4 linked regions of the Diceros bicornis minor genome follow. The protein of the gene in region 3 interacts with the protein of the main gene of each other region in a pairwise test. Links are inferred from orthologs where the notes say so. Each region holds a gene or a part of one and is shown on either strand. Other genes may lie near its edges.

Region 1 (7,353 bases), on a different chromosome or scaffold from region 3:
CACAGCAGGAATTCTCAAGCAAGTGGGAAGCATAAGAGAGATGTGAGTAAACTGCAATGGCACTCTCTCAAAATATTCTGATATTCTCTGCCCTCCCCATTCCCTTATAGATAGCCCTCTCCCCAAATATAACTTACAGCAAGAAGCAGTCACATAGATGTCATTCATATTTAATTTTAAAATGTAACCTATGACTTTTTTGCATCAAAATTGTTTTCCTAACTACTATATTAATATTAAATGTGGTGTTACCTAAAGACACAATAACTGGAGAGAAGAAGGAGTAATCTGGAAGGATATTTAAGACCAATTTAAATATAAGCTACCCATACTGGAGGTATCTGTGTCTTGATTATAAAGATATTTTATTATGGTAATATGGCTTAAGGTATTAGTCTCTAAAACCACTAAACTTTGGTGCACATTTGTTATACCAAACCATAAGTGGTCTCAAATATTATGTTTTAATTTCCATATCCTTAAAAAAATAGAATTCAAGAAATAAAATAAAATAGGGCAAAAAGTATGGAAATTTTTTCAAAGATTTCAAGATCTCAGACGACTGATAACAGTATACGGAGCAACCTCTGAAATTCTGTAGATGATACAGCAGCAGATCTACTTTCAAAGGCACTACTGACAATGAACCTCACTCTTTAGCAATACACAACTGATTCCATGAAAACTGTGGAAATTGCTACATGTAGAAGGATTAACCCCACAGACTTGATAAGTCAACTGTAACTGAAAAAATACACAAACAACAACAAAAAAATCACATTAGTCTCTCCCCTCCCCATTTTCTAAGATCTTTAAATCAAGGGTTTCAGGCATGTTGAAAAAATATGCTCACATTGTGATAGGTTAGCATTTCTTATTTTGAGAAATAACACCACCTCCTAAGCCAGGCATGGAGCCAGAATATGTAACTATAATTTCTGAAAAAAAAGAACATGCATAATTTATTATAGCTCTGAATATTTATCTAAAATATTTAAAGATGAAAAAAATTGAGCACCACCTCCTACTCACAGAATGATCCTTTCTCCAAAATTAGATTTTATATCTGACATCAAAATATCACTCTTTCAAGTTTCCTTAAGTCATTAAAGAAATGAATTAGATATTGTTTCACTTTTTAAAAGCTGTTTATTCTCAGTAGATACTTGCAGTTGTAAATGATACGGAAGTTCTCATGTGGTAAAAGCCACTCTTGCTCTGTTACTTAAACCTAAAGTACTATTTCTAAAAACCAACAAATGCAATTTCACTAACTGAGAAAAATAAATATCTTTTAGAAATTACCCCTAATCAAGAAATCAAGAGACATTTTCATAAGAAGTGTTTAGCTTCCTACTGGCACTCCCACTTCAACCTTTTCAAAAAGGATGGAAGAAATGAACAGTCCTTTCAGGGGAGAAGAGTCACAAAATCTCTGATACGCAATTCTATGCTAATCAAAGATGAATTATCCCACCTTTTTCATGGCTAACTGACAGGAAAGAGAAAGAATGCTAACCACAAGCAAGGAGACGATGCATATCTGATACTCATATTGATTTGGATCCAATGGGCACTTTCAAGCATTACAACTGATAGCAATGATGATTTCTTAGTAAATCTAACGTTCAAAGGACTTTGTACATCACTGATTATCCTATTTATATCTATTTAAAATGAAGACCCATTCTCTTATTTAAATTATCTAGTTAGAAAATGCTCTTTATGTAATAATGTTAATCTATCATGATTTCTAAATACTGTAATAATGTACTAATTTAATTTGGTGCACAATATGGTAAGTTTTTTTGCTTTTTTGGAACCATCACCATCCACCCACACCCACAACCAAGATTAGAGACTTAAGCAAATGACCATTCTTCACATACTCTAAAAAATAAATTCAGATTTTGGGAAATATAGTAAAGCATAAACAAAACCTCAATGTTAGAAGTCATTTAAATAATTGTAGGGAGCTCTGGAGGTATACGCCTGTAATTTAAAGACCAACTGTAAACCAAGAAGGATACTGATACTATTTAGTGTTTATCCCACTAAATCTTCCTAACAGCATTGATCAAATTCCCCTAACTAGTTCATGCATGCTGGTAAGAGTATGTCTGTGTGCAACAACAGACCTTGACCTGAAATGGTTAAAAATAATCAGGAGTGTATCTGTCTGGTGACATAAATACCTCGTTTATCAATGTGAGATCTAAAAACCCAAATGTTAAAGAGTGGGCTAAGGTATTCTTATGACAGAGAAGCTTTGAGCTTAATCTTAGGTTTGTTAATGTAATATGTACAAGTAGGCTGGTGTAATTAGTTCCTGTTTCCTCCTCATAGAGATACTAGGAAGGTGGATGACACGGGGAGACCCACACGTCGATCTACACCCCTTTTTCTATTCCAACTTCACCTCACTCCTTTCCTTCACACATATACACACACACTCCCCCGTCACATTTGAAGCCCAGGTGCCCTAGTGGGCAGTTTTCTAGGGTCGCTTCCCTGGTGCGTTAAATAGAATCTGACGACCGGGGTTGAATGCCACCCCCTCCAGCGCCCGCAGCTCACCTCTAGCTTGTGGTTGATTTGGGACACAGTCTGGGCTTTGTGGCAAAGCTGCGCAAAGCAGGAGCTCAGGCTGGTCATCTTCTGTCGCCCCTCATAAGTGATGTCCGCCTGGTCCGGATCGATCTCGCCCAGGAGCAGATCCACATCCACGAAGGCCTTGTCGAACTCCTTCTCCAGCACCTCCAGCCATCGGAACATGGATACCCCGCCGGGGGTGACCCCCACGGCGCAGGAGGCGCCCCCGGGGCCCCCTCCGGCTCCTGCCGGGCACGGGCCGCCCGCCGACATGGCGCTGTCCAGGGCCTCCCCCAACTGCTGCTGACCCCCCCCCGCCCACCCCGCGCGAGAGGAACTGATGGGACTGCGGGGACCCCCGCGCACGCACGTTCCCTGGGTCCCCTCCCTTCCCCTCGCGCGGCTAAGGCTGGCAAGGCAGCCCCAGAGCGGCAGCAGCAGCCACACTGAGGCGGCGGCGGCGGCACACGGAAGACGCGGGCCGTCCCACCTCACGACCCGCCCCCGCTGCGCATGCGTAGCGAAGACCCAGACGGACGCAGCCTGGTGGGGCGAAATGGGCGGGGCTAGGATGCGACCTTGGCCTATGAAAAGCCTCTGCTTGGGACCCGCCCGTCAGCGGCCATATTGACTACTGGCAAACTGCAGTTTGAATACTCGAGAAACAGAGGCGCTTGATATCGGCTTCCAAGTTGAAACGGCTCGAGGAAGAGAAGGGCATCCACGTCGCAGAGAGGAACGACTTCCGCCCGTCTGACTTCACAGTGGGCAGAGGACGTTATAAGTCGTCCGGGAAAGTTTCTGCGGTGTCGTCCAGGGGCAGGGAAGGGAAAGTGAGGAAGGGCGGTCTGAGCATGCGCAATGGCCACGTTTTACCTTTTCCATTCCACTTCCTGTTCAGGGTGAGGCGGGTAAGGTGGGTGGGGTGGATGGACAAACTGGCTCTTCTTGGTAAACCAGGCCCTAAATTCTGGGTGGAAACTGCCTAGAGCTGCACGTTGAAGGACAGCGGCTGCCCAGGTTTTGCTGAATTAATACAATACATTTTGTCTTGTAATTAAGAGGCAGGCTTGGGTTCAAGTATTAAACCCTGCCACATATTAGCTGTGCCGTCTTCATTGTAGTCTTTAATCTCGAAGCCTCAGTTTCCAAAATTTGCTACGCTCAGTAATGAGGTCAAATGCTTAGCTTCAGTGCTTGGCACTTGCTATTCCTTATTACACCGCAGGTCATGCATTTCCAAAGCAACTACTTCAAAAGGTGTACTTATTTCAAAAACTGGTACAGTGTACCCACATGTGACATTTCAGAAAAACACAATTATGAAGACTCACATATTCATAAATATATTGAATGCAGAGCCCTGTTGAGGCATTGGGGACACAAAAATAAATGAGACATGACCCTTAGTCAAGCAGAGCTCACAGGCTAGTGAGTCTAACCTGCATAGCTACAACTTAATTTGAATTTTGCAGTACCCTTGGGAGTGTTTAGCAACTGCTCTTTACCATTCCACCTACTCACTTTTAACCCTCTTCTACTCAAGAGTAGCCCGGTCTTGGAAAAGGACGGAGAAACCAGTCTGATTAGAGAAGGCTGGTAGAAACTGTCTCTCCTGCATTGCCTAGGGGAATATTTTCCTGGCCGACTACAGACTCTTTTATGATCTGTTCATAGGACAGACTCTTCCAGTTAATCACCACCAAAGCCAGCACTTTGTGCCCCTCGCCAACGCAAGGCCAGTGAGGAATAAGAAATCATAGGTTTGGTTTGCTGTCTGGAGACTGCAGGGCCGACTGGTTAACATGGGTCAATAAAGTCCTTTGACTTAAGCAGACTTAGCTAAGCAAAACTAAGGGTGAGATCCTGGCCTTGAGCTTAAATAGGCACCTTCATACAGGTTTTAATACACAAAAAAATAATGTAAAACTAAAATTTGCATCTTTCCCCATTCCTTTTCAAATTAACTTTATATTTCAATATTTCAGTATTTGCAAGAACATCAGTACAGCTACCAAGTTGCCAGCCACTTTCTCTATACATAATATAGTTAGCAATGCGTTTTCAGGAATTTGAAGTAAATAATGTAAAATTGGAGGGAGGGCACATACATGGAATCACAATAATAGGAATAGCTTTCAGTTGTTGAGTACATACTGTGTATTAAGCATTGTGCTATTTGCTTCAGTTCTTTGACCCTCACAAAATCCTGTGAGGAAGCTATTATCACTTTTTTATAGATGAGCCACAGAGAGCTTAAGTATCTTGGTAAGGTCACACAGCTAAAAATCGACTGAGGTGAGATTTCAATTTAGATGTCTTTTTCTCCAAAGTCTTAGCTGTTAACCATGGGTTATATAAGGAGGAGGGAATCCATTTCTTCTTGTATAAATTACCAGTATAATAAATTGGCAAATCAGGCCAAAAGTTTTTTCAAAAAAGTAATTTCTTCCTAATTATAAGCCGTATGCAAATCTATTAATATATAAGAAATGTTCCTTAAAAAAAAGTAATTGTAATACTCACTATTACTTATCACTCTCTTTAGTTTATACTACACTTGAAAATAAATTTCGTTTCTTTAAAAAAATGTCATTCCACTTCTTGCTGTATTGTGTGGGTTCAACTGAAATGCATTTTAAGTATTTATATGTTTTGAGTGCTCTGATCCTTTTTGAAGATCTCCATTTCCAGGATTGTAGAACCCACCTCCATTTCTGTTTGTGATCTTTACAACTCCAACAAATCACACCCTCTGTGCCTCTAAATACTTTCATCTCATATTGTCTCTTCTCGTTATCACACCATGTACCAGCTGCCACATCCCTATGTGCTTGCTATCTTGGTTCTATGTGACTATTTCAAATACTCATGAGGTGCCCTCTATGTGGACATTCTCATTTGCCCACTTTGATTGGGGTTTTGCATTTCTGCAAGTCACAGACCAACACGGAAGTGAAGAGCCGAGTTTGATGTTCAAGTGCTGCCATCTGCTGTCAGCAAGCTCTATTACATTTACTGCCTTATCTTGACTTACTCTGGAATTTGGAATTGTATGTAATCTCAATACTTGTGGAGTTTATTTTTCTAGAGATAATAAAATCATGATACTTCTATTTGCAATTGCATTGGCATAAGTGCAATGTTGCTGTTTCATGAATCATGCTTACATGATTAAACATTTCTACTATAACTTAAATGTGACAGTCCTGTTTTAGGAACTTATCCCTAGAGTTTTACCACAAGGTATTACTAAGAATAAATAGGGGAGAGACTGAGGAAACTGGGGAAAAAGGGAACATGCTAAAGATTTCTCTGGTAGGTACTGGTATTTAGCTGTGAGGTTAGTGTAGAGTTCAAACATTAATTGCAAAGACACCGAGGTGAATGGCCATAGAAGATCTACCTTGGAATGGAGAACGATACTGCCATTTATTGTACTCTACTGTGTACCAGGTCCTGTACTAAGCTTCACACATTTCATTTACTCTCCAGTAATCCAACCAGGAAAAGGAAAAGGTAGTAATTGCTGTTGGTCGCTATGAACAGTTGTATGATGAATAAAGAAAGCCAAGGAAAACCCACTACCATTTTACTGGAGCAATGTGGGAAAAGTCTTGGAATATCATATGCATGTGTATTATTTATATTTATTGATATTTACTAACAATTTGAAATTTTGTGATAGACATGCTAAAGAAGTAAGTTTGGGCATTCCAAAGAGATTTATTAGCCTCATTCTCCTGATTATTCCTTTTATATACCCTTACGGAACAACTGTTTGCTCTCTTGTTCTTAAAACTTGAGAATTTTGTTGCAGTGATTTAGGTTTAGCTCAGACACCTCTTCCAGGAAGCCTTCCTTTTTTCTCCTCATGTGGAGCTATGGACTCCATTGCTGTTTAGTTTCCTGCAAATACCTGCTATAGCACTTATCATATGTTTTTTGGAGCCCCTTAAACTGTGAGCTCCTTGGCAGCAATAACTGTATCTTGCTATCTTTGAATACCAAGTCCTAACACAAGACCTGGGCTATAGTAGGAATGCTGAAAATATTTGTGTGGTCAGTTCAATAATTAAGATGTTACAACACTCTATGTAAGAGATTCTAAAAGCAGTCACTTTCCAAGGTATGCCTTTGATACCTGCTAGAGAGCATAGCTGAACATATTTTTATATTGGCTCAGGGGTTAGGAATATCTATAAAATACTTATTCCTTTAAATTCCAAAGAATATTTTTCCCAACTTAAAAAGAAAGGTTCATTTAACAATAATCTGGTTGATTTCACTAATAACTCCAATATAATTTAGGCTTTGAGAATTATTTTACCTAGTCCATAGTTAAAATTTATGAGATAACTATGTTTTGTATCATGTACCCAAACCTAAAAACAAAACATAATAAAAAACAATTTTAGAAATTCCTAATACTATATTTTTATTCCCTGACACTCTCTAAGACTGACTATAACTGCTTTTCCACTGTCACCTGATCTGCATTCTTCATTTACTCTTTCCCACAGCTCCAGGTTTGGGTCAGCATTATCTAAAACCACCATTTATCAACAGTGGTATCCGAGTTTACTAATCATCGATTCTTCCTCTTTCATCCACTGTCAAGTCACTGTTTATTTCTCAGATTGTCAGACTTTACAGATCAAACGTAGACTCCCCCACATCAGCCTCTGTTATTTATATTTCTTATAGATGAGTTTTATAAGGGGCCCAAAACAATTGCATTCCGAACACCCTTTAACATTA
Region 2 (8,123 bases), on a different chromosome or scaffold from region 3:
TCTTGGCAGTGCGGGCATTGTGGCTAATGAAGTCCACACCCAGGCCTGGCCCCTGCAGGACATGGCAAGCATGATGGGACAGACAGCACTGTGTTGTATCCCTGAACCCCCCAGGATCCCTGCCCCACCTCCCAGGCCCCACACATCCTCTCACCTTAGTGCTGGAACCTGGTGGGGTTAGCTGGGGACTGGGGACACGGGGTGGTGGGAGCCCAGGGCCACAGCGGGAATGTGCCCGTAGGAAGTGGGCAGGCTCTGTCCCAGAGGCAGGGCTGGGGTTCTGGAGGGCAGGACATAGCAGAGGGAACATTTAGGCTGAGGTCAGGGTCTCAAGCCAGAAGACCATGACTCTGTCGTTTCTGCCTCTCAGGATCTTTCTCTATCCCAGCCCTATGGGTCTCCTCCCTCTTGAAGGAACACTTCTCATCAGCATTTAAACATATGTGTCTTTCACATCTTTAAGAAAACAACAAACTACCCCTCCTTCTACCTCCATTCCTGGCTCCAGTTACCAATCTCTTTTTCTCTCCTTCCTAGCCAAGCTTCCAGACTCTGTCCCCACCAAGGTCACTGATAGCTGGCCTCCAAGCCCTCAAATCCAGGGTCACTTCCCTGATCTCATTGTCCTCGGCCTGATCCTCAATAACACTTGGATTTCACTTCCAAGATCCAGACCTGACTCTCCATCTGCTTTCTGGACACACTCCTACCCCCTGGGAGTCCCACAAATGCTTCAGCTTCAACAGAACAACATATGACCTTATTGTTTTTTCTCTCAATCCTGCTCCTTCTTCTGAGACCACTGGGTAGAGAAACGGTGCCACTATCTACCCAAGACAGAATCCCACCACCATAACCCTGTCCCTGCCCTTCCCACTGCCCTTAGAAATAAAGGTTGAGGGGCCGGCCCCGTGTCTTAGCGGTTAAGTGCGCGCGCTCCGCTACTGGCGGCCCAGGTTCGGATCCAGGCGCGCACCGACGCACCGCTTGTCCGGCCATGCTGAGGCTGCATCCCACATACAGCAACTAGGGGGATGTGCAACTGTGACGTACAACTATCTACTGAGGCTTTGGGGAGAAAAGGGGAAAAAAAAAAGAGGAGGATTGGCATGGATGTTAGCTCAGGGCTGATCTTCCTCACAAAAAAAATTAAAGAAATAAAAGTTGAGAAGTGGATTATATGGCCCTTTATGATGTGGGTTTAGCTGACTTAGCCTAACCTCGTGCTCTTCTCCCCTCACAGTGAATTGTACACAGCCTCCCCACGGGCCACACTCTCTCTGGTCTTAGGACTTCTATCTGTGAGGTTCTAGCTCTATAGAATGTTCTCTTCCATTCTCCCCTTGCCTAATTTCTACTTGCCCCTCACCCAGCCATCATCACTTCTGAGAAAGCCGCCAGCCCCACCCTGAAATAGAACCAGCTATCTCTTACTCCTCTGGTACATTAGTCCCCTGTGATTTTCCTCTCTCCCCATAACTCAGATAGGGTATAACTGCCTGTTGGGCAACAAAATAGACAATACCGGGGCCGGCCTGGTGGCGTAGCGGTTAAGTGTGTGCGCTCCGCTGCGGCAGCCCGGGGTTTGGATCCCGGGCACGCACCAATGCACCGCTTGTCAAGCCATGCTGTGGCGGCATCCCATATAAAGTGGAGGAAGATGGGCATGGATGTTAGCCCAGGGCCAGTCTTCCTCAGCAAAAAGAGGAGGATTGGCGACAGATGTTAGCTCAGGGCTGATCTTCTTCACCAAAAAAAAAAAGATAGACAATACTTCTGGCTCCCTGAGGCAGGTACCTGCAGCTGGGCCTTGACCCGGGACTCCACTTTGTCATATTTGGGCGAGCGCCACAGAGCCTTCAGGGGCCTGGGCTGGCCCTGCTCCCGGCTGCACTCCTGCTCACGGAAGCGCCTTTGGATCTCTCTGATCCGCCTCAGGTTCTCCTTCTCATGGTCTTTAGGGTCCTTCCCTGCGGAAAAGATGTTGCCAGGATCTTCCCTACATACAGCCCAGGCAATCCAACTCATACCAGTTCACACACAGGCCCACACCCTGCCCTCCTACAGAAACATCTCTCTGACCTCTCCATCCAACTTAGATCCTATACACATATTCCACCTCATCACCTTGTTCCCTTCCTGATATAGTAATCTTCTTCCATCCTTGATTATTTTCTACATTTTTATTGTGACGTATACCATTAATCATCTTGTATATCATATTCATCTCTTCACTTGTTTATTGTCTCCCACCTTGACTCGATGATGGCCCATGCTTGTCTTCAACCTTGTCTTCCTAGCACCTATAGGGCCTGGCACACAGTAGACACTCAGCAAACAACGTTTCATTGATGCTTGAATCCATGAAGCTGAGCTAGGGTTTCCCAGGGAATGACTCATTCAGTCCTCTCCTGAGAAGAGGTAGTGCATTTTCTCCTTCTTTTATAGTTGGGGAAACTAAGACTCCGAGAGGCAAAGTCTGAGCCCAGGTCCAGGAAGGAGGAGCCCCCCCTTTTGATCTCAGCTTTTGACCTCAGACTCGCCTCTCTGCCCCTTCTGCCCAGAACTTACTCTTGGGAGAGGCGCCTGGGCCTACGGAGATATCCCCGAATTGCAGCAACACGGCCCCTACGGCACGCCGGCCACGCTCCAGAATCTCTCGGGCTCCGGGGCTCATGCGGGGGCCGCGGGGAGGGGTGGCATCCTGGTCCGGGTCCGAAGTCAACAGGTTCAGCTTCAGCGCGTTTCCCTCAAGGCGCCCTTGGGCTGAGGGGCCGGACGGGGTGGAGTGCGGGGCTCAGTGGTGGAGCGGGGCGGGAACCTCGCTCGAGCCTCGCCTGGCCGCGGCACCCACCAACTCACCTGAGGACGGCCGCCGGTAGTAGTCAGGGCAGAGCGTAGGGTCTGGCGGGATGGGCCCCGAGATGCGGGACGGGCCCTCGCACATGCCGCCGTCGTCGCCCTGCAACGGTGGACCGAGGCCTGCCGGGCTGCGCATCTCCGGCCCCAGAACCCTGTCCTCAAGCCCCATGCCTCCTCCCTGGACCGGGCCCCTGATCCCGGCCGTGCCCTCCATTCTCTCCCGGCCCCCGCCCTGCCTCCCGACCCCGGCCTGCCCTCGCTGCCTCGGCTTCCAGCCCACTTCCCTGCCCGGTTCGCGGCCCCTCCCCCGCAACACCTGGGCAGGGGGCTCACCCGAGCCGTTTTGCCACCCGCCGCTGCAACCGGACGGGTTTGCTGTTGCCAGGCAACAATAGTTTCCGTCCCTGAGGTCAGGGGCCAATGCCCCTGGCGCAAAGCCCTCTGGGGCTTGTAGTTCCTGCTGAGGGTGGGGCAGAGCGGCCGCTAGTAGCCCTTCCCTGGCTCTCGCCTACCGGCCGATCTCCGCCGATCTCCAAGGTCAGCGCAGGGTCCACCAGTCCGGCCCCTCGGGGCCCGCCCCCCGCCGACCAAGCAACCGTCGAGGATGCGCTGACCCCGCGCAGCCATGGCCTCATCAGGGGCTCAGAGGCGGCCAGGGGCCCAGGAGGGGACGGCCGTGGAGCCAGCACAGCTCGCGGAGGCGCTAGGTGGCCGCGCTCAGAGCTCTGAGGTGAGGTGTCTCTAGCCTTCAAACACTTGGCCGCAGCGCTGTAGGAGGCCAAACTCTGTGCGATGACCCCCTAACTGCCAGGACAGGCTTCATAGGCTGGGAGGGTCATGGGCTGGTGCCCTTCATTCGCATTTGGTGTCTGATGTCAGGTGTCTAATGACTGATCCCTGTATCCTTTGCCTGGCCATGATAACTAGTTACCTATGTGTCACCTCTAGTGTCCAGTGATGGGAGTACAGTGCCTGGTGCCAGCCCATGAGGCCTGCCGGACCCAGGGTGCAGACAAGTATCCAGCAGGATCAGTGTCAGAGCCAGAGCTCCAGCAGGAACGACTCAAGCTGGAAGAAGAGAGGCTCAAGCCAGAGGTGGAGGCACTAGAGGAGAGAGGCCCCAGGCCTATGGCCTCCATTGTGAGGCTCAGTCATGGTCCGAAGAGGAAGCCAGTCAAGTGAGGGGGCTTTCAGAGGGAAGGAGCTGCAGAGCTGGAGGCGGGGCTGGGGGGACGACAACTCACAATCCAGTAGGATTCCTAAATCCATCCTGCACCCCTGCAGGGTGCATCCTTATGCCCTGCCACCATCACTCCTCACCCCTTCTGTCCTTCAAGAACCCTGGTGTAGGGACCATCCTGAGAGGTAGTCTCAAGGCCTTGAAGGGGACTGAGCTCACATGAACTCTCAGCCTCTGACCAGCCCGGGGCCTCACTGACCAGGAAAGGGACAAGAATCGGGTCCCAGGGTGGTGGGCAGGCAGGGCTATTCCCTAGGCTCAGGACATAGGAGTCAAGGCTGAAGGCTGGCTCCTCGGTCCTCCTATCCCCCAGCCTCCCAGGGCCTAGTCACCAAGCCCATCCTAGGGCTGAAACTGAGCTGCCACAGGGGCTGCCGCTGCAGAGGGAGGAGCCAGAGAGTAGCCAGAGTGAGCCGTCACTGTCTGCCAAACAGCACAAAAAAGCCAAGAAACGCAAGAGTCTGGGAGCCCCAGTGCTCCCAGCTGTGGCCAGCACAGTGTCTGCACCCTCAGAGACTTTGGGGCTGGAGCGTGAGTGGCAGTCCCCGGGCCTTCCTCTTTCCCCCTGCCTGCTGGACCCTTGACATGGCACGGCTTGGCACTCTAGCCCCTGCCCTGCCCTGGGTCCTTGCAGGAAAGGCCCAGCGCCTGCGGCCCCTGTACCAGTACATCAACTATTGCAACCCTGAGCTGAACCAGGCAGGGGAGGGAGACAGGGAGGTGGAGGCCGAGGTGGAGCCTGAGTTGGAGCTGACCCCGGTCCCTGAGGAGGCAGGTGTGGAGCAACTGCAGGCCTTGCTACATGTGGCAGGTGAGCTGGGCTCAGGCCTTACTTTGCCCTGCCCCAATACGTTTGTGTTCCCCACCCATGCTCTGGTTCCCCTGGGAAAGGAAGCTGGAGAGGAGCCTGGGGGTTTGCTCAGCTTGGGGGTCAGCGGCTGCCTCAAGGCTGAGGTGGATAAGTCAACTCAAGTGGACATTGACAAGATGCTAAGTATCTGTATGGCTCCACTTGTACCCCCACTCTCTCCTCAGTACAAGTGACTGTCCCGCCCCACTCGTGGCTCCCCTCCTCCCAAGCCTGAACCAGAGCAGCAGCCTATGGGCCTAGGCCCTCAGGTGGAAGGGGGAATTTGGCCTCTGCCCCCACTTGGGACCTTGGACTTGCTGAAAATAAACGTTTTCCTTTTCTCAGACTATGATTCCCCAAATAAGCTGCCTGAAGAGGGAGAGGCTGGGAAGAAGGGTGGAGGATTCCCCAGTGCACGGTTTGAAGCCTGACTGGTCATCTGGATTGCCCAGGAATTTGACAAAAATATAGATTCCTGGGCACTACCCCACATCTAACTGAATCAGAATCTGCACAGGTGGGGCCCGGTTCTGTGCATTTAAAGGCTCCTCAGATGAACCTGAAGGTTAGACAGGAGAACAGTGGGGATGGAGAGGGAGGTGACAAGGAGAAACTTGGGGCAGAGAAAGGAAAGGGACTGTCAGATCATAGGAAGCAGGTGCTTGGTCTTGCTTCATCTCCCAGGGAAGGGGCCTGCATTTGGTCCAACCTCAAGGAGACCAACACTTGGGATCCACCCTCTAGAGTGGCAGAGTTCACTTGTCTGCTCCAAGAGTGGCAGCTTTGGAATGCTTTCCACTTATTGCCAGACCACAACTGCACCAGACTTTGCCCCCAGAGTGGCCCCTGGCGACAGAGGCAATGGTGCCTTTTTCCTGACAGGCAGGGGGTGGTGGTAGAGGTGTATGTTCTCCCTGGAGCCCTGAGGCCAAGCCACCAGATGACTACTGCTTTTTGACCTCAGGGGTCTCTGGGAAGAGGCAGCTAGTGCTGGCCATTTTGGAAACTCTCATATCCTGCTGCCTCCTGATTTTCCTACATGTCCCTCAGACACTTTAAACACAGGGAATTCCAAATTAAATGAATAATTTCTTCTCTCTCCAACCTGCTTTTCCTCCTGTATCTCATCTACACAAATGTTCCAGCAAAAATCCTGGGTGTCACCTTGAAGGATTAGACTGAACTCAAGGGCACACATCACCACATTGTATCACCTAGCAGAGGGCCCCCATAAAAGGCATCAAGATAAGGAGACCAAGGTGGGGAGCTGAGGAAGCTGCAGAGAGGGACAGGTCAGGATCTGAAAGGCTGAGGCCATCCAAAGTCCAGAACCATGTATGGGGCCCCCGGAATAATGGCCTGGCAAGATCATCAGAAGGGATGGGGTGGGCAGGCCCAGATGGAAGAAGTAAGAAGAAAATGGGCATTATCCCAAGCTGCTCCCTCCGTTAGGGGTCATTTGGATGCTCCCTCCTTTAGGGGTCACCGGCCCCATGGCAAGGCCACAGGGTAAGCCATGGAGTCAGGATATTTCTTCTTTCTGCCCACACTTTTCCTTGGAAAGTGATTTGACTGCCCCAGGAGATACTGTCCACAGGGATGAGCATGGATTCTCTGGGATTTTTCAGAGGTAGAAGGCTCTTCAGATAACTAGCTTGAGCTCCTCACTATGACTGAGGAAGCAGAGGCCTGGAGAAGTGGCCTTGCATGAGACTACACCCTGGGCCCCAGGGAGGCCCTGCCCTTTCCAGAGCTCTGCAGATCTGTGGACCTGGGGGCTCTCTTGCTTGGACCCTGGGCCTGACCCAAGAAGGCCAAGCATCTGCTTTCTCTGTGTGGTCTCCAGGGCTGGAGGTGTGGGCCAGGCCAGCACTGATAAGGAAGCTCTGTCCCTATCTTTCAACAAGTGATAAAGAAAATACACAGTAACCATATTAGAAAGAACTGGTCTACATTTCCTGAGTCCTATTACCTGACAGGCTTATCTAAGCAGGGTAGCTGACAGAAGCCACAGAAAGGAACAAGTTACCATTACTGCTCCTAGAACCTCACTCTAAGGGGGAAATGCTGAGACAGCACGATACAGGGAGACGGGTGCCACGGAAGAGCCAAGGACCAAGGCAGTGGGACCACAAGTGATGGGGGTGACTGCCACTTTGCCTAGGGCAGAAGTAGTAAAGAGGCAACCCTCCAGCTGACTCCTGAAGGACAGAGTTGAGAGTTGAGACTCCAGGCAGAAGATATGCCAGGGACAAAGCCTTGCTAGTGTGAAAGAGATCAGCCCCGTGCAGGAGGGCCAGTTAGCGTGGCTGAAGCAGAGGCATGGCCATCAGGAGACCAGGTTGGGCGAGTCTGGAGTGATCAGGAGGGGTGTAGGCAAGGAGGGATCTTGGCCTGACATTTTGGAGAGGTCGTTTAGGCAGCACTGTGAAGGGCAGACCAAGGGAGAGACTGGGGCCAGGGAGGAAACTGCTGCCATTGTCTGAGGCCTAGATTTGGTTGGGGGTTGAAAAATAAGAAACAGGTATTTTGGAAATTCTTTTCTGGCTGCTGTATCAGAGAGGAAAAGCTAACTGCATTTTCACTGATTTAGAAAAACTTATATTTACTTTTGATGCAAGGAAGATCCTGAGATTTGGGAAACAGATCCTGGGAGGTGATGCTGCCTACCTCCAGGAGGGGGCGCTGCAGGACAAGCCTGGAACCATCTGTGGGCTCAGTCGCCCCTGGGTACCAGAACCCTGCTGGCTTCCTTAGCTACGGGCATCTAGGCCACTTCAAGGTACATCTCCTCTCTGGGACCAACTCGAGACACACATGATGGTAAAGATGTCTGAGGGATGGCCATGGGCCTGGCTTCTGGGGATTGCCAACAGAGGACTTGGTGTCCTCATAAGCCCACTGCAGTCTACCCCAGGACTTCTGGGAATTCATCTTTGTAAACAAGAGGTTTGCTCCAGAGCCCTAAAAAAACATAAGAAGTGCCACTGTGGATCTGCAACGTGGCGCTTTCTTAAGTAGGAGCATCTGAGTCAAACACAATGGATGCATGTGCTTTCTTGGTCAATTCCCAAACTTAGTAGGGATTTAAACACCCTAGTAACACACACAGGGACTGACCTAGAGCTGAGCTGATTGTCCCCAGGAGGAAGGGGGCAGCTTCTCCTTCTT
Region 3 (7,951 bases):
CAAAGGAGACAATAGCACACTCTTGGCTAACCCAATATCGTATAGCTAGACTATCTCAGAACCAAGGTGAAAATCCACGTCATTTACTCTCAACTCTACTGCTCTTTCCTCTATACCACAAATGGTCAATGAATAAAGCATCTTTTTCTGCGATCAATAACTGAAAAAATTGTGAGTTATTCATCATATTAACATATTTATTCATTTTTATTGACTCACTGAAGTTTACTAATACTGTAAACGTTAGATAATACACTGGCTATTGTAACCATATACATTAATAATTCAGATATAACTAAGGTGAATCTACCAGAGATGATGAGAACAAGGTTACAATAAAAGAATGATAAAAACTAACACGTTATAAATTACTCTTCAAAATTAAAAAAATGAATATATGTCAAACTCATTTCTTAAATATTAGTACTTAATGACTAATTATGGGCAAAATACATTATCAAATGGCCAGTTTACTAGAGGCAAGAATTTTAAGAAGTTTGAAAATCAGACTTGGTTGAGGGAGACAATGATGAGCACTCACTCTCTTTCCTTCCATAAGATTTTTTGGAACTCATCCAAATGCACCTGCAAAGCTGCCATTTCAGGTGCTTCATTCTCCAAAGGCAGATGCATTGCTTGCGGTCTTAATCCAGGTGTCACAGCACAGTTTTCAGAACCACCGTTCTTGAATAAATCAGAACAATCTAGATTCAGTTTCATCTCCTCATTTAATCTTGATGGGTCAATAATCAAACCTTCTTCCTGAAAGGAAAAAATAGAAAACAAATCTTATTGGTGAACATTTAAATCTAGTGTAGAAAAATCATGAAGAAACATATTTTTGGAAAGAAATAAATGTTATGATTCAGCATCAAAGTCATATTTTCATGTCTTGATCATTCTCTCATTGTGTTACAAGGCCAAACTTTAACTTGCATTCTTCAAGCTTTTTTTTTTCTATATTCTATCTTATTATAATAAAACACATTTCTCTGAAGTCTTTTAAAATTTTTCATTTACAGTGGAATCTAAGTTATATCTACCACAAGTCCCACACATCATGGAAAGGCTTAAAATTTTAAATGGAATTGTAGAAGAGAAAGATATGAACTGATTTTGCTTTTAGAGATGGAATTAAATAGAAAGGGGTAACAATATAAACTGATACTATTTAAAGAGATAATATGGGGGCTGCCGCGGTGGCATAGTGGTTAAGTTCGCGTGCTCCACTTCGGCAGTCTGGGGTTTCAGGTTCAGATCCTTGGCGTGGACTAACGCACCACTTGTCAGGCCATGCTGTGGCAGCGTCCCATATAACATAGAGGAAGATGGGCACAGATGTTAGCCCAGGGCCAATCTTCCTTGGCAAAAAGAGGAGGATTGGCATCGGATGTTAGCTCAGTGTTGATCTTCCTCACAAAATAAATAAATAAATAAATAAATACTGCTAAAAAAAAAAATAAAGCGATAATATGAATCCCCAAAGTTTCCCAAAGTATGTTCCACGGGTTAACCGTTAATAGTATTTACAAGGTTTAAAAAATAAAACTGGGGGTGGTGGTGTTCATGGATAAATAAGTGTTATGAACTGCTAGATTAAATGAAGTTTTTAAAAGTTTATCTTGTGCAGAATTCTCAGAAACTTCAAGATTGCAAGTATACCAAGAAATTCCAAAACTGGGTAGTGTGAAGCAATCCCTAAAAGTATTTGCCTAGGGTACCTATTTTACAAGAATTAATTGTGAGGCCAGAGTCTCAAACCTTTAGAAATGTTTCTACTACTATACGGATAATGTACTATTATTGGTAGAATTAGGGTAAATGGGGAGAAATATCTCCAAATATTTTTTCACATAAAAAAAATGCTAGGTTAATTTTTGCTAAAAATCTTAGTGATATCAGCAATATGGGCTGAATTGTGTCCCCCCAAAAAGCTCATTTGTTGAAGTGCTAACCCTCCTCCAGTACCTCAGAATGTAACTACATTTGGGGATTGGGTCTTTAAAGAGGTAATTAAGTTAAAACAAGGTGAGTAGGGTAGGCTTACTGATGGTATCTTTATAAGAAGACGAATCTTCAACACAGGTACATACAGAGCAAAGACTATGTGAAGACACAGAGAGAAGATGGCCATCTATAAGCCACGGAGAGGGGCCTCAGAAGAAACCAACTCTACTGACACCTTAATCGCAGACTTCTAGCCTCCAGAACTGTGAAAAAAAACAAATTTCTGTTGCTGCAGCCACACAGTCTGTGGTACTTAGTTATGGCATCCTAAGCACACAAATACAGTCGCCATTGGGTGTGTCATTTTCCCCTTCCTCCTCGTCACTATATAAAGCATTCAAATATGCGCATAGTCTCTGGATTCCACTGTGGGTTTTTTCCTCACCTTACTAGTTGTGTTCTCCTTTGTAGGAAATTCTCTTCTTAACAAACACTCTCTGATAGACTCACACGTTTTGGAACCCATTTGAAATTGGTCTCTTTGTGCACAGGACACTTCTATGAAACTAGGACGCTTCAGGTCTTGGGTAACTCTAGCCTCTAACACCTCCTTTTGATGTGGCAAACTTTGTTTCTTTTTCAGTGCACTCAATTCCTTCATTGTCATCTCTAATTTTATTCTGAGTTGTCTTCCTTCCTCCCTGGCACTGTTCCTTTCTGTGCGAACTTTACTCCACTTCTCTCTCCAGTTGGCAGTGCAATCTGACCACCACCGCATGGTCTTCTCCATCTGAGCAGCTCTGGCCTTGACTTCTTCAAGTTCTCGCAGGCGAAGTTCTTCACAAATATCCCATTCGTTGGTGTTGCGTGAGTGAGCACAGAGGTCGTGAGCTGCATGGGATTGTAGCCCATAAAGTGGCACACAGGAGTTACAGGTATCTCTGTGGGAGGAGGCAGGTGCTATCACGTCACAAGTTGGTTTAACTGATGACTGCTGCATCTGGAAGATTTGAGTTTCCTCAATTAGCCGATGAATAGAATCTAAATTCATATGTATGTTTTCAGGCCTAAGAAAAGACAGAAAAAAAAATCAAATAATTAATGTTTGAATTTCTTTGCAATGACAAGAACAAGACCTACATTTAAAAAAGAAAGTTGATGAAAACAATACATCTTTTCAATATTGCATATTTTCCTTTCCACTGTAACTAAAAATATAGAGGAATTTATACATTTGTAATTATCCTCAAAGAAACAGAAATTGCTTATATTAAATTTTGCCAAATAAAAATAAAATTATAAAGATGCAATTGAGGATAGAATGCAACATGAATAATTCATTTTAAGAAATCCAATGTTTTTCAGGTAATATTTATTGTAACACATATTGCCCATTAGCTACTCAATGGTCCCTTTTCCCCTGCTAATTAAAGCACAGTTTGTTCAGGTGGAATGCAGAATCTATTCATCTCTGGGAGGAAAAGCCCCCATCCCAATCCCAGGGCTCAATCATGATTGATCTCAGTCTTCCGAGATGACCTCCATTTCACTGATCATTCACTAGTCTCAAGGCAGCATAGGAGCTGGTTCTGGCTGCTGAGATGTGAGGGGAGGTCTGCCAGAGAAATTTCTCATCTAGAAAAATATGAAAACATCAGAACGAAAAACTCTTTTTCCTCTGCTTCTTCCTGCCTGAACAAAGATGAAGGCAAGTATAACAGCCACCCTGTAACATTTAAAATGGTGGAACAGAAAGATGAAAGGAGCTTGATTTAAGGATTGAGCTGCCGCATGAAACCCAGAAGGCATGCCTCTGCCTTCCCTGCTGTGCGAGAATGATGACCTATATTTATTTAAGCTCTGATTGGTGAGTTTTCTGTTACTTGCAGTCAAAATGACATTTAATTGATACATGAATTAATTTCCTACTATGGTTAATATTATGATACGTTCTAAAAATAGAATATTATGAATAAGACATGGTATTTGTCCTTAAAGATTTTATAGTCCAGTGTATGACATAAACACATATAATTTAAAAATACCTAATTCACACTGTAAAAATTATATTTATGTATGCAATCAATCTTTTCTTAGTACACATTACTTGTCAAATCAGTGTTAGCTTCCTAGGTTGTGTACAAGGTGCTCTAAGGAGCTAAAGAAGTGATCAGCTGTCTCCTAGAAATGAAAAGGCTTCACAGCCTAGATAACACTGAACACTGTCTTAGCAATTTCAACTGTTTATAAAGGAATTAAAAATTTCCATATAAATAGCAAAGATAAATTAACTGGTAAATGCAAAGCTTTCTTATCAGTATGTATATCCATTACTTTATTCATTATAGCAACATAGCTATATTAAGGATATAACAAGTAGACCTTTTCTTTAAAATAAATGCTTAAAACATGCAGGTTAATCTACAAATTAATAAAGTTCCGTGGTTGTATAAGATTACCCATTTTTATTATCAAATAAGATATTCTGGTATAAATGATCTTCGGTAACATTTTATATACTTGACATTAATTCCTCTCATTTTTTTCATTTGCTTTTATATAGTTACAGATCATAAACTGTCTCCTTATGAGCCATCCATTTAATCAACTGAAGGGGTTTCATTATACCAATAACTTACAAAATAAGTCTCTAGTCACTGAAAAAAATGACTACACAATACTAAATGTACATCACTTTCAGTTGTAGAAAAAACACATTTTAATAAGTGCTCTGTAGAGGTGCCAAACCAACTCACTCCTTATTACAACACTTATTATTATAATACAGATTCATGGTTGTAATTATTTTGGTTAGCGTTGGTATATGTCCAGTCATATTTGAATTAGTGCTGATTTGGAGTAATTATTCCCTTCATTTACTGTAATTCAGAGGGCAATGATAATATAACTGACCAAATTTCTTGGACTATCAGTAAACCAAGACCATTAAAAAAGAACAAAAGCGGGACCGGCCTGGTGGCGTAGCGGTTAAGTGTGCACACTCTGCTTTGGTGGCCCAGGGTTCGCAGGCACGGATCCCAGGCGCAGACCGATGCACCGCTTGTCAAGCCATGCTGTGGCAGCGTCCCGTATAAATCAGAGGAAGATGGGCACGGATATTAGCCCAGGGCCAATCTTCCTTGGCAAAAAGAGGAGGGTTGGAATCGGATCAGCTCAGGGCTGATCTTCCTCGGTCACACACACACAAAAAAGAACAAAAGGAACTCTTAATTAGAAGCACACCAAAAATTTTATCTACATATTCATATATATATATCTTCATTTTTCACTACTTAATGGTATTTCTTTTGGTTGCATTTCCAAATTGAAGATAGAAAATTTATTTCAGTATATTAAGCTTAAATCTATTCTTGCCATTTTTCAAAATAAATCAATATCATTAAATTGTAATGTCTTTAAAAATGTCTCATTAACTTTTATTTCACTAGTGTTTTGAAGACTCTATAATTGGATTCTGGTACACTGAGATCTTGCCTACCAATTAACTATGTATTTTTTCACATTGGACTAAACAATATTGAGCTGGGTTTAATCATTCAGTCCTTGAACTTCAATAGCATTTCCTGTTCTAAAGTGTTTCTCAAACAAGTGTAAATCAGCATATTTACTCCTCGTGTGTATGTATTAAAGCATTCATTTTCCCTACACATATGTGGGTACTCTTCATGTTTTATTTCAGGTGATTGTGAAAGTATTTGTCAATGGCTGTAGCACAAAGCCTTTGATGTATGGGAAAATATTTTAATGCTATTGACTCTTTGGTTTCTTACATTGATTTTTGCATTGTGCCTACCACAAAAGGGGGGTTACAAGAAAACTCTTGGAGGTGATGAATATGTTTATTACCTTGATTATGGTGATGGTTTCATGGGTGCATGCATATATTTAAATTCATCAGCTGTATACATTAAATATGTGCAGTGTTTTATATCAATTACACTTCAATAAAGCTGTTTTAAAAAGTTCATACAATCAGGCTACCATGATTACTACAAGTAGTTTTGAATGTAGTACATCACCAAATAAATAAAATTTGGTGGGTCTACAGTGTATAGATAACATTACTAAACCTGTTATTTCTTGCTAAAGAGGAGCTTAATGTGTAAGACATTGGGCTCCAGACTCTATTGGTTCAAGTTCTGACTCTGCCACTTTCTAGATAGATGACCTTGGACAAATTACATAAACTGCCTTTGACTCATATCCTTATTTGTAAAAGGAGGCCAAAATATCACGTATCTCACTGAGTTCTTGTGACCATTAAATGGGAAAATGCCAGCTCATCGGCTGGCCCAGGCTGTCTCTTAGGCAAGGTGACAGTTTTTCTCAGCGGTATACAAGTTACTAATATGTCACTTTGGACTATTGTACTATTTATTTTTTTGAGTTTCCTTTCTCTCTTTCAAAGAAAAAATGGTATACTTAAAAAACAGGGAGAGCGACATATAAATGAGATTTACAAAAAAGTTCTAAATTTCATGAAATAAAGGTATAATATCAATTTCTACGTCATATTAATATTATTCAGTGATATATTCAGTACTATTATCGTCTCTATCCTAGAGATGAAGAAACTAGGGCTTAGGGCTCTAATGTAACCAGCCCAAGTCATACACTTAGAAAGAGTCAACCCAGTTTGGGAATTAAAGAAATTTGAATACAGAGCCACCGCCTCTTTGTATCAAAAATCTACTTCAAAATTTCTAGCTTCAAAATATCTATTTTCACTGTAGTAAGATCACCTTTTGGATTATTTCAGAAATATATTTGGCAGACTTCCATTTCGAATAATTTTATGCTCAAATATCTCCCATTAAATCGCACCACAATTAGTCGATTGATCCTGACGTTGAGCTTTGAGTGAATTCAATCTCCTCATCAGAGCTTAAGGGAACTGTATGCAAAGTCTGGGGTTTGTCCACCCCTCCAGCCTCCTCTTCGTCATTCTGCTTCCATGTTCCATGCTTCCGCCACCCAGGTGTGTCCATTCCTTGCACAAACCTCACCTCAGTGGTCTCCTTCGTGCAATCTGATTGCTATGCAGGAGCACTCTCCCCTCTCTCCATACACCCCCCTCCTCCTAGATTCCCATTCTTCAGGTAGCAGCTAGTGGGACCTATGCTTGACCGTCCTCCATTCCTTAGAGGCCTACAGCTGAGCAGAAAATCTGCCTTTGGCCTCCTCTGTGATAGTGAACAAAACAGACATGGCTTCTGCCATCCTGGAACCTTGTTGATAACAAAAGCAATAAATCAAACTAACAATCACAAATGTTAACTGTCTTTGAAAGAAATAGTGTACATACCTACATACTTAGAGAAGTCTCTCTGAAGTGACATCATATGTATTATCTGAAGAATGAGGTGAACCAAAAATAAAAGCATTTTTGGCAGAAGTTAAACTATCAGGGCAGACTAAAACAGGGTCCAAAGGGATTTTTGTTTTATTGTTTATACTTATTGCTTTCCATTAACCTATAGGAAATGAATTCTAAATGAAACCCTGCTTGGATCTTTTTTCCCTAAGAAGCACAGGATCTCTAATGCACCCATAATGATGTAATAAAATCCATAAGCAAAGAGAAAATAGATTCATACAGATTCAGAACATGATGTTAAGGAACGGTTGTTGCTATAGATATGATGCCATATACCCCGATAAAAAGAGAAAAAATAAAGATCAGTTTTCAATATTCAGGAAAGTACCCATCATACTGTATTTTAAAATGTGGCTTGTCAAACATGCACACATGATTAGTATAAAAACTTATGCATTTTGTATGGGTCTAAAGTAGAAAAAAATAATGTCTTTTTAGGAATGTTTTGCAAGAGAATACTAAATATTAAAAGTGAAAACTGCAGTTGTGACAGGGAGGTAAGTGAAGAAATGACAGTGAGTGGCCACATGACATCACTTTGATATAGTTCAAGTTTTGCCTACAGTTAAATATTATATTTTAAAAATACACACACTGTGACAAATT
Region 4 (7,151 bases), on a different chromosome or scaffold from region 3:
GAATAGTGCTTGGCACACAGCAGGCATTATCTGTTGACTAAATGAATGACTATGTCCTAAGGAGACTGAACTAGGCAATCCTAGAGTTCCTTCTAACCCGGGCACCTATGAGCACTGGACTGGCTGAGTATCTTTAATTTAGAGGCTGCCCCTCTTTGCTCAGGCATCCACGTTAGGTCATAACAGGAACCTGAAATTATAGTTCCCTCTTGCAGATTCTTATTGCCAAATGAGGAACTTCCACCCACTGGTCTGGAAGGATTCAAATACTTGCATTGCGTCCTTCCCTCTACCCCAGGGCAAGCCTGGATTTCCTGGGAGAGCTAGGATGAGTTCGAGACTCTAGGATTTAACTCCTGGGCTTTCTCTGAGCTGTCCTTTTAGAGGGGCTTCTCTGGACCGGCCAGGAACAGGGGATTCTAAACCCAGTGGAACTCTTCCTCCCCCGCCCTCCAGATCTGCTCCCTCAAGAACAAAAGGCACTCAGCAGTCTCAATTGTTACCTCTAACCTTTTGGGGGGTTACTAAACTGAACCCTAAGGAGATGGCAAATGTAGACATCCAATATTAAACTTGATTAACAACCTTGACATTGTAATAATGGTCTCTTCTCTCAAGACTAAGATGGTACTTTTAGAAAAGTTTGTTAAAATCATAAGTTGCTCTCAAGCACCAAGAAAATCATCAGCCAGTCTTATGCTGAAAATCAGTGTGCACAGATGTAGTTATTATTATACTGAAATAAAGAAAGTCACTCTTTGCATATCCATTTTCTCTTACCAAATATTAACATGTTAAAAAATCTAAGCCATTTGAACTATATAACCTTTCTCTACGCTGGTTATCACTTTTAATTGAAAGCAACTAGCACATATAGTTAATTCTGGAATATTTTCTATCTGGATAGACTTGAAATATTCCTATATCATCTAACTACTGCCTAATGGCAACATTTTCTAGTACTGCATTACTATAAACAATTACTCTATTGTACAGGAGGAAATATCAAAAACATGTTTAGCAAATAAAATCTACTCAATAGATTTATAAAGCACCTTAGCTAACTAAAGCCAGAAAGTTTGCTTCTAGATTCGCCAAACTTGGGATAAAATTAATCATTCATAGTTTGGAATGAGTTGCAATGTACAAACCAAACTACAACAGAAATACACATCATACACAGGCACACAAATTCACTGTCATCCACTTCTTCCCATAGCAATAAACAGAAAGACGTTCCTTACCGCAGTCCTCAGTATTGTTCACAACCACCCTGGTGTTATAACATTTTATAACTAATCTTGCTGGATGGAGAGATTCCACCCGACTGTGACTAAATGTTTGTAGAGGCAAGTGATTTTAACACTTGTGCTAGTTTGGCAGTACATGAAAGGTCAGATAGAAACCAAATGTCGCATCTGACCAACTGACGTTGAAGAGAAAAAAAGCTCAGTGCTGCAAAGGGAAAGCAGCTGTGAGCAGTATGAAAAGAAATTTTGTTCTCCTAGCTCTCTTTCATCCACTAACGGGGTATACTTTTCCAAGTCACAACAGAAACATTCTGTATGTGGCAAAAAAGGTTAACTGAGATTGCGACCAAACCAGTCAGCATTAAATAGGAAAGAATGTGGACCATGAGCTCAACACTGATTTGATCTCTCACAATTCAATTCTTCACGAAATCACCTGTTCATGCTGGTGGGAAAAGGGCCGCAGAGATTAGCCTTAATCTTGCCTAAGGAAACCCCTCCTTGGGGAGTGCTTTGCATACCCAGTCCTCTCAGCCCTTGTACTGCTCAACAATGAAACTGCCAGCTGTGAGTATGCACCAAGAATTATATGCACTTATCCTTCAGGGTTTCAACAGAACCTGCCAGTTTATAGTCAATGAAATCGCCTTTACAAATGTTTAAGTCACATAACCAGCTTAACTAGTCAGAGGTTTCTGATCCTTTATCTCAATCTGTATTTGATCCACATATGGACAATCTGTGATTATTATTAATACCAGCAATAACAAAATATGAGGACCTAAGAGTCTCTAGGCCATGCAATTGGCTTTTCAATGCAAGTCTCCAGACCTCACCACACTAGGACATAGCTATCCTTTTTTTAGATCTCTTCAGGGGAAGATTTATCCCTCTTTTCTTCAGGAACTTATTCCATTATCTTCTAAACTTCATGGGAGGAAAAGCTGCCTACTTGACATTTCTTCTGTGACACCTCATCTTGTGCTCTGTCTTGGTATAAAAGCTTTTGGAAATTTGCACACAGCTATTAAGTTACTCCTCAGTCTCTTGAATCTTTGTGCCAACAGGAGCTAGAACATTGTAGGTGGAGACAAAGCAGCAGCATAAATGCAGAACTTAAAACTCCCCAGGAAAAGGAGAAGAGGAAAAGTGAGACTCCTGACCTGCTACTTTCCTCATCCCTCATTCACAAGCCTCACACCTGGCCCATACTCAGCAATGACAAAGACATCTGTCACTTTCAGGCTGAGGTGCAATCTCCAAAATAACTGGCCTCTGCACAGAGTTCTTCAAAGTTAACTGAAAAACATGTTCCTGGGCTGCAGCTGCCTAGCCAGAGAATGGGACTACAGGAGGATGCCCTGGTCAAGCCCCCTCCCCCCACCCGCAGGCGACCCACACATAAGACCCCCACCCTCACCCAGTCCCACCGATGACAGCACACAAAGGCAGGGTCACAGGCACACCGACCACCCCCATGTACTACTCGACCTCAGACACACACACACACATACAGAGGGACAGGAGATCACGTGCATGGTCACACGCACCGGTCCACTCGAGTCCACACTCACAAAGCGACACGGACAGAGGCAGCCACGTACACTACATACACACCTACCTGCAACTCCATACACATCACACATCCACACCCCCACTTCCCAGGGCCTGGTTCCACTCCTCACCTGCCGTGTCCGCCCTCACGTCCCTTTCCCTCCTCCTCAAGGAGGCTCTTCCCTCCAGTACAGGCACCGGCCGTGGGGTTGGCTGGGCCCGGGTGGGGGCCCCCGGGCCAGAGCCCACACGCCCCGCAGGCGCAGAGAGCAGTGGGGGCCCGCTGAGAGGCCGGCCTCCGGGGGGCGGGGCGCGCGGCCAAGCGAGCCTGGGCGGCCGCGCTCTCTCCTCCCGAATTGTTAGTTCAGCGGCCGCCGGCCTCGCGCTTCCGGGTTTGAAGGGGGCGGGGCCACGTCGTGAGGAAGGGGCGGGACTGCGTGTCTCCGGCGGTCACCACGGCGACGGGGCGGGTGGAAGACCCAGCCGAGAGACTCCCGGCGCTCTCGCTTCATCCTGCGATATGCGGAGGATTGGGGAGCCGGCGTGGTTCTGGCGGTGGCGGCGGTCTCGGGGAGGAGGTCCGAATTGCCTGTGGGTCAGCTCCAGGTCCCCTGTCTGATTTGAGCACGGAGGGAGAGGTTATGGGAGTGGAAGGAGGGGGCGCCTGGCCCCTTGGGACGTGCGTCAGCCTTCAGTTCTCTCCTCTTCGAGGAAGCAGGTTTCTCTCCGCCGTGTAAAGCTTTGAGGGGACCTCTTTGGGTTCCAGGCTTTGGTGAACAAGGTTTTGTATACTCTTTTCTTGGCAAGGTTATTTTCCTTTGGCACAACTACAGACGCCCTCCATAGTCCTCCACTGTAACGCTCCCACCTCCGTTTCAAGACTTTTGCTGACGTTCTGGGGGATTTCCAGGAACAGCTCCCACCGAGCCCCTAGCTCCTTTATCACTTTCCCTTAAAGGGATGGAGAATATTAATATATTTATAATAATTATTCTTAAACAAGGTGTTGCAGATGTCGCGACTCTCTTTTTCAGTAAAATATGCAGGTTTGCTGAAAGAATGTATGATAAGATTGACTAATAGGTAAATCTCCTTGTTTGAAGTTTTTAGTGATCCTGCAACAAGGTCCTGCTGAATGATCCTCTCCCTAATCTGTATTAGGAGAAACTTGTACCCTGTTTAAAGGCCTTTGGATTTTGCCCTTACCCAGGCAACTGTTATGGGATCAAGGTCAGGGGAGAATTCCAGTAAATTGCGTCCTTAGTCATGACCTCTGCCCTGTGGCTCGGGAGCCTTAGGTCCCCATCTAGAATTAGACAAATCCCAAATGCATTTCCAAACAGTAACAGATTCTCACCCCCCACCCCCCCATTCACCTCTTTTGAAATTTTGAGTCAGTCACAGGAAGTGGTCTTTTATTAAAAGTGCCATATAGGTGTATAGAGCATGTTTCCACAGAAGATTTTTAACCTTGGGGCTTTTTCTCAAAACTTTGGAATAGTTTAATGAATGGAATAACTGGCAAATCACTGGTTGTATGTAAAACCCATTATGGGTGCTGATCACATTATTTATCTCTCTCCCTAAGCGGGCTGGGAAATTTAGTTTAGAGCAAAGGCAACAGAGGGATTCAACCAGTACCCTAGCATAGACTTAAGCTATCGGTATGCCCAAATATATTAGAAGTCCTTATTTGGTTAGTTTGGTAATAGTAATTTTTAACTTGACTGTGGATAATGAAAAACCATTTCACTATGTAGATATGTTTTGTTACATGTATACTTTTATTACAATGTAAAAGATCAAACCCTTTTGAGATTCTACATGTTTCCCTTAGAAAAGGACCCTGTGGTCATGTTTGGATCCTCAGTTGTTCCATAACACATGGCAAACACATTGTCTATTCCCTAATCTGAACAAGGAACATTTAATATCCATGAATTCCAGCTGTCCTATGATTGCACAACTGCAGGGAGCAAACTTTTGACCCAGAGCAGGCCACAGTGCAGGCAGACCTCGTGGATTTGGCTGTGAGGGTTTGCATCTGTCGTGTTTGGGGTCTGCCATATGGTTCCCACAGCACCAATCCCTGTGTAAGAATCACACTTGAAAACTGGAATGTTCACAAAATACTCTGAACACCAAAGTAAACAGATGGCTAGCTGGTTCTAAGAATTGCTGAAACACAAGCTCTATCCCTCTAATTGATCTTTTGACAGGATAATATTTGTTTTAAAACACACATGCAAGATAATCCTAGATATCTCTCTTATGCATGTATACACACCAAACAGAATAGTGCTTACCTCTGAGGAGAACCTGGAGAATGGAAGGGGCAGTGAAGGAGAACTTTGGCTCTAGATTTAGTGTTTGAATTTATATAAGAATGTATTCATATATTATTATGTTATAAAAAAAATAATTAAACTCTCTCTAAATCCTTCAGTAGCTCCCCACTGACTTCAAGCTAAAGTCCAAGGTGCACATACTAGAGCAGGTCTGGCTCTCTGGAAGGGCCCCAAACACCCTCTGAGGTCTCAAACCTAGTTTGTGTATGCTCTTCCCTCCACTTAGAGTGCCTCCTTCTGCTTGACCCACCTATTTTACCCCCAGAAACAATGGATGTATGAAAAAATGAAAGAGGAATAAAACATTTGGTTTTTCACACTAATACCAATTCTTGGAATACCATCCTTTTAAAGCTTCCCTGGGTACAATTGGCTGCAATGTTATATATCGAATTATGCTGAGCCCCGAGATTGAAAATGAATGCTATTTCCTTATTGCCAGACCCAGTCTGTGTGAAATACATACCACACTGGATTATAGGGGTCAGACCCAGAGTGGAGATTTTGGAACTGCCCAAGAAAGATGTTGACATGACTGTTCTATAGCTTGCTACCTAAAAGTCCTATCAAACAAGTTATATGCAGTTATTTGTAATTAATAATTTATTATCATCCAGGAGTTAAGAAACTTAAGTTCTATCTTTGGGCAAGACATCTTCTCTCTCAAGGTGTGGTTTCCTTCTCTGTAAAATGAGTCCATGGTTAGACTAAATGATCTCTAAGTTCTTTCCAGTCTAAGATTTTAGATTCTATATATTTATAAGAGATGTAGTACAGAATCTTTACAATAGCTTTTCCTCAAAGCTGCTCTTCTCTGATAATCCCTTCACTGCCTCTCCCTTCCAATCAAACTTTAAAAAAGTAGCCTGCACACAAAACTGCCTCTTTATGGAAACAGTATTTGAACTTCTTGGATAAGTTAATCTTCGTTTGTCCATCATTAACTTTTTAAAATAAGAGTTCCTAAGCAAAGGTACTTCATCTTTTGTATCATCTGCCAACCTAGCATCTCATTAGTGTTTCTGCTGTAAATAACAATGCAATAATCTACCTTCTGGAAGAAGAGCTGCAATAAAGAATCCTGGGAAACAAGAGCTGCACTATTATACTAAAAAATAAAGCAGCTTCTATCTGTAGGGTTCTAGAAGACTTTATGAATTCTTAGAGGTAATAAAGACAGTGATTAAATAGTAACTAAAATGAGAAAATCTTTTTGGAATTGCCTAGCATAGTGCCTGCATATAATGGGCACTCAATTAACAGATGCTTTTGTTTCTTTGTTTCTGAGCACCAAAGCCTAGCACATTAAATTCCTTGATCAGGATACAAACATTTGCAAATACACGCCGGGTGGGAAAGTGGTTCAGGCCACAGATTGGTGTTAGGCTACTGGAGTGTGAACTCTAGCTCTACCACTATTAGCTATTTAACATTCTGGAAAAATGAGGGTCAATAATAGTACCTTCCTCCCAGGGTTATTGTAAAAATAAAATAAGATAGTTCAGGGGCAGTCCTTAGAAACACGGCTAGCACTCAATAAATGTTAGCTAATAATAACGGTATTGAGAACCTACTGTGTTCCAGGCACTGTGCTAAGTGAATTATGTATAGTATTTCTATTCTTCACGGCAATCCTTGCAAAATAGGTACAACTTCCATTTCGTAGATAAAGAAACAAATACAGGGCTGGCCCCGTGGCTTAGCAGTTAAGTGCACGCGCTCCACTACTGGCGGCCCCGGTTTGGATCCCCGGCGTGCACCAACGCACCGCTTCTCCGGCCACGCTGAGGCCACGTCCCACATACAGCAACTAGAAGGATGTGCAACTATGACATACAGCTATCTACTAGGGCTTTGGGGGAGAAAAAAGAGGAGGATTGGCAATAGGTGTTAGCTCAGAGCCGGTCTTCCTCAGCAAAAAGAGGAGGATTAGCACAGATGTTAGCTCAGGGCTGATCTTCCTCACACACACACACACAAAAAACAAATTCAGAGAGGG

What was found.
Region 1: the proteins of CCDC102B (region 3) and GOPC interact in binary tests that used the Homo sapiens proteins (3 or more experiments, as listed by UniProt). The two-hybrid records come from large-scale screens. The link is inferred for Diceros bicornis minor from reciprocal best matches to the Homo sapiens genes CCDC102B and GOPC.
Region 2: the proteins of CCDC102B (region 3) and ENKD1 interact in binary tests that used the Homo sapiens proteins (3 or more experiments, as listed by UniProt). The two-hybrid records come from large-scale screens. The link is inferred for Diceros bicornis minor from reciprocal best matches to the Homo sapiens genes CCDC102B and ENKD1.
Region 4: the proteins of CCDC102B (region 3) and SPG21 interact in binary tests that used the Homo sapiens proteins (3 or more experiments, as listed by UniProt). The two-hybrid records come from large-scale screens. The link is inferred for Diceros bicornis minor from reciprocal best matches to the Homo sapiens genes CCDC102B and SPG21.

What each region holds. Positions count from the first base shown.
Region 1 is NC_080762.1:18,494,698-18,502,050, reverse strand, and holds the start of GOPC (Golgi-associated PDZ and coiled-coil motif-containing protein), read right to left. Parts: upstream 3,072-7,353; 5' UTR 2,866-3,071; coding exon 2,578-2,865; intron 1-2,577.
Region 2 is NC_080771.1:19,461,993-19,470,115, forward strand, and holds the start of ENKD1 (enkurin domain-containing protein 1), read right to left. Parts: upstream 3,189-8,123; 5' UTR 3,077-3,188; coding exon 2,863-3,076; intron 2,767-2,862; coding exon 2,572-2,766; intron 1,971-2,571; coding exon 1,798-1,970; intron 281-1,797; coding exon 155-280; intron 53-154; coding exon 1-52. Other genes in the region: C32H16orf86 (uncharacterized protein C16orf86 homolog), read left to right, coding at 3,488-3,592, 3,811-4,040, 4,200-4,208, 4,416-4,633, 4,737-5,146. UniProt on the Homo sapiens protein: Microtubule-binding protein which regulates microtubule organization and stability. Promotes the stability of astral microtubules and facilitates the proper orientation of the mitotic spindle.
Region 3 is NC_080755.1:58,670,705-58,678,655, reverse strand, and holds the start of CCDC102B (coiled-coil domain-containing protein 102B), read right to left. Parts: upstream 3,008-7,951; 5' UTR 2,999-3,007; coding exon 2,393-2,998; intron 763-2,392; coding exon 542-762; intron 1-541. UniProt on the Homo sapiens protein: During interphase, forms fibers at the proximal ends of centrioles to maintain centrosome cohesion. During mitosis, dissociates from the centrosome following phosphorylation to allow centrosome separation. Contributes to CROCC/rootletin filament formation.
Region 4 is NC_080744.1:59,337,186-59,344,336, forward strand, and holds the start of SPG21 (maspardin), read right to left. Parts: upstream 3,127-7,151; 5' UTR 2,936-3,126; intron 1-2,935. UniProt on the Homo sapiens protein: May play a role as a negative regulatory factor in CD4-dependent T-cell activation.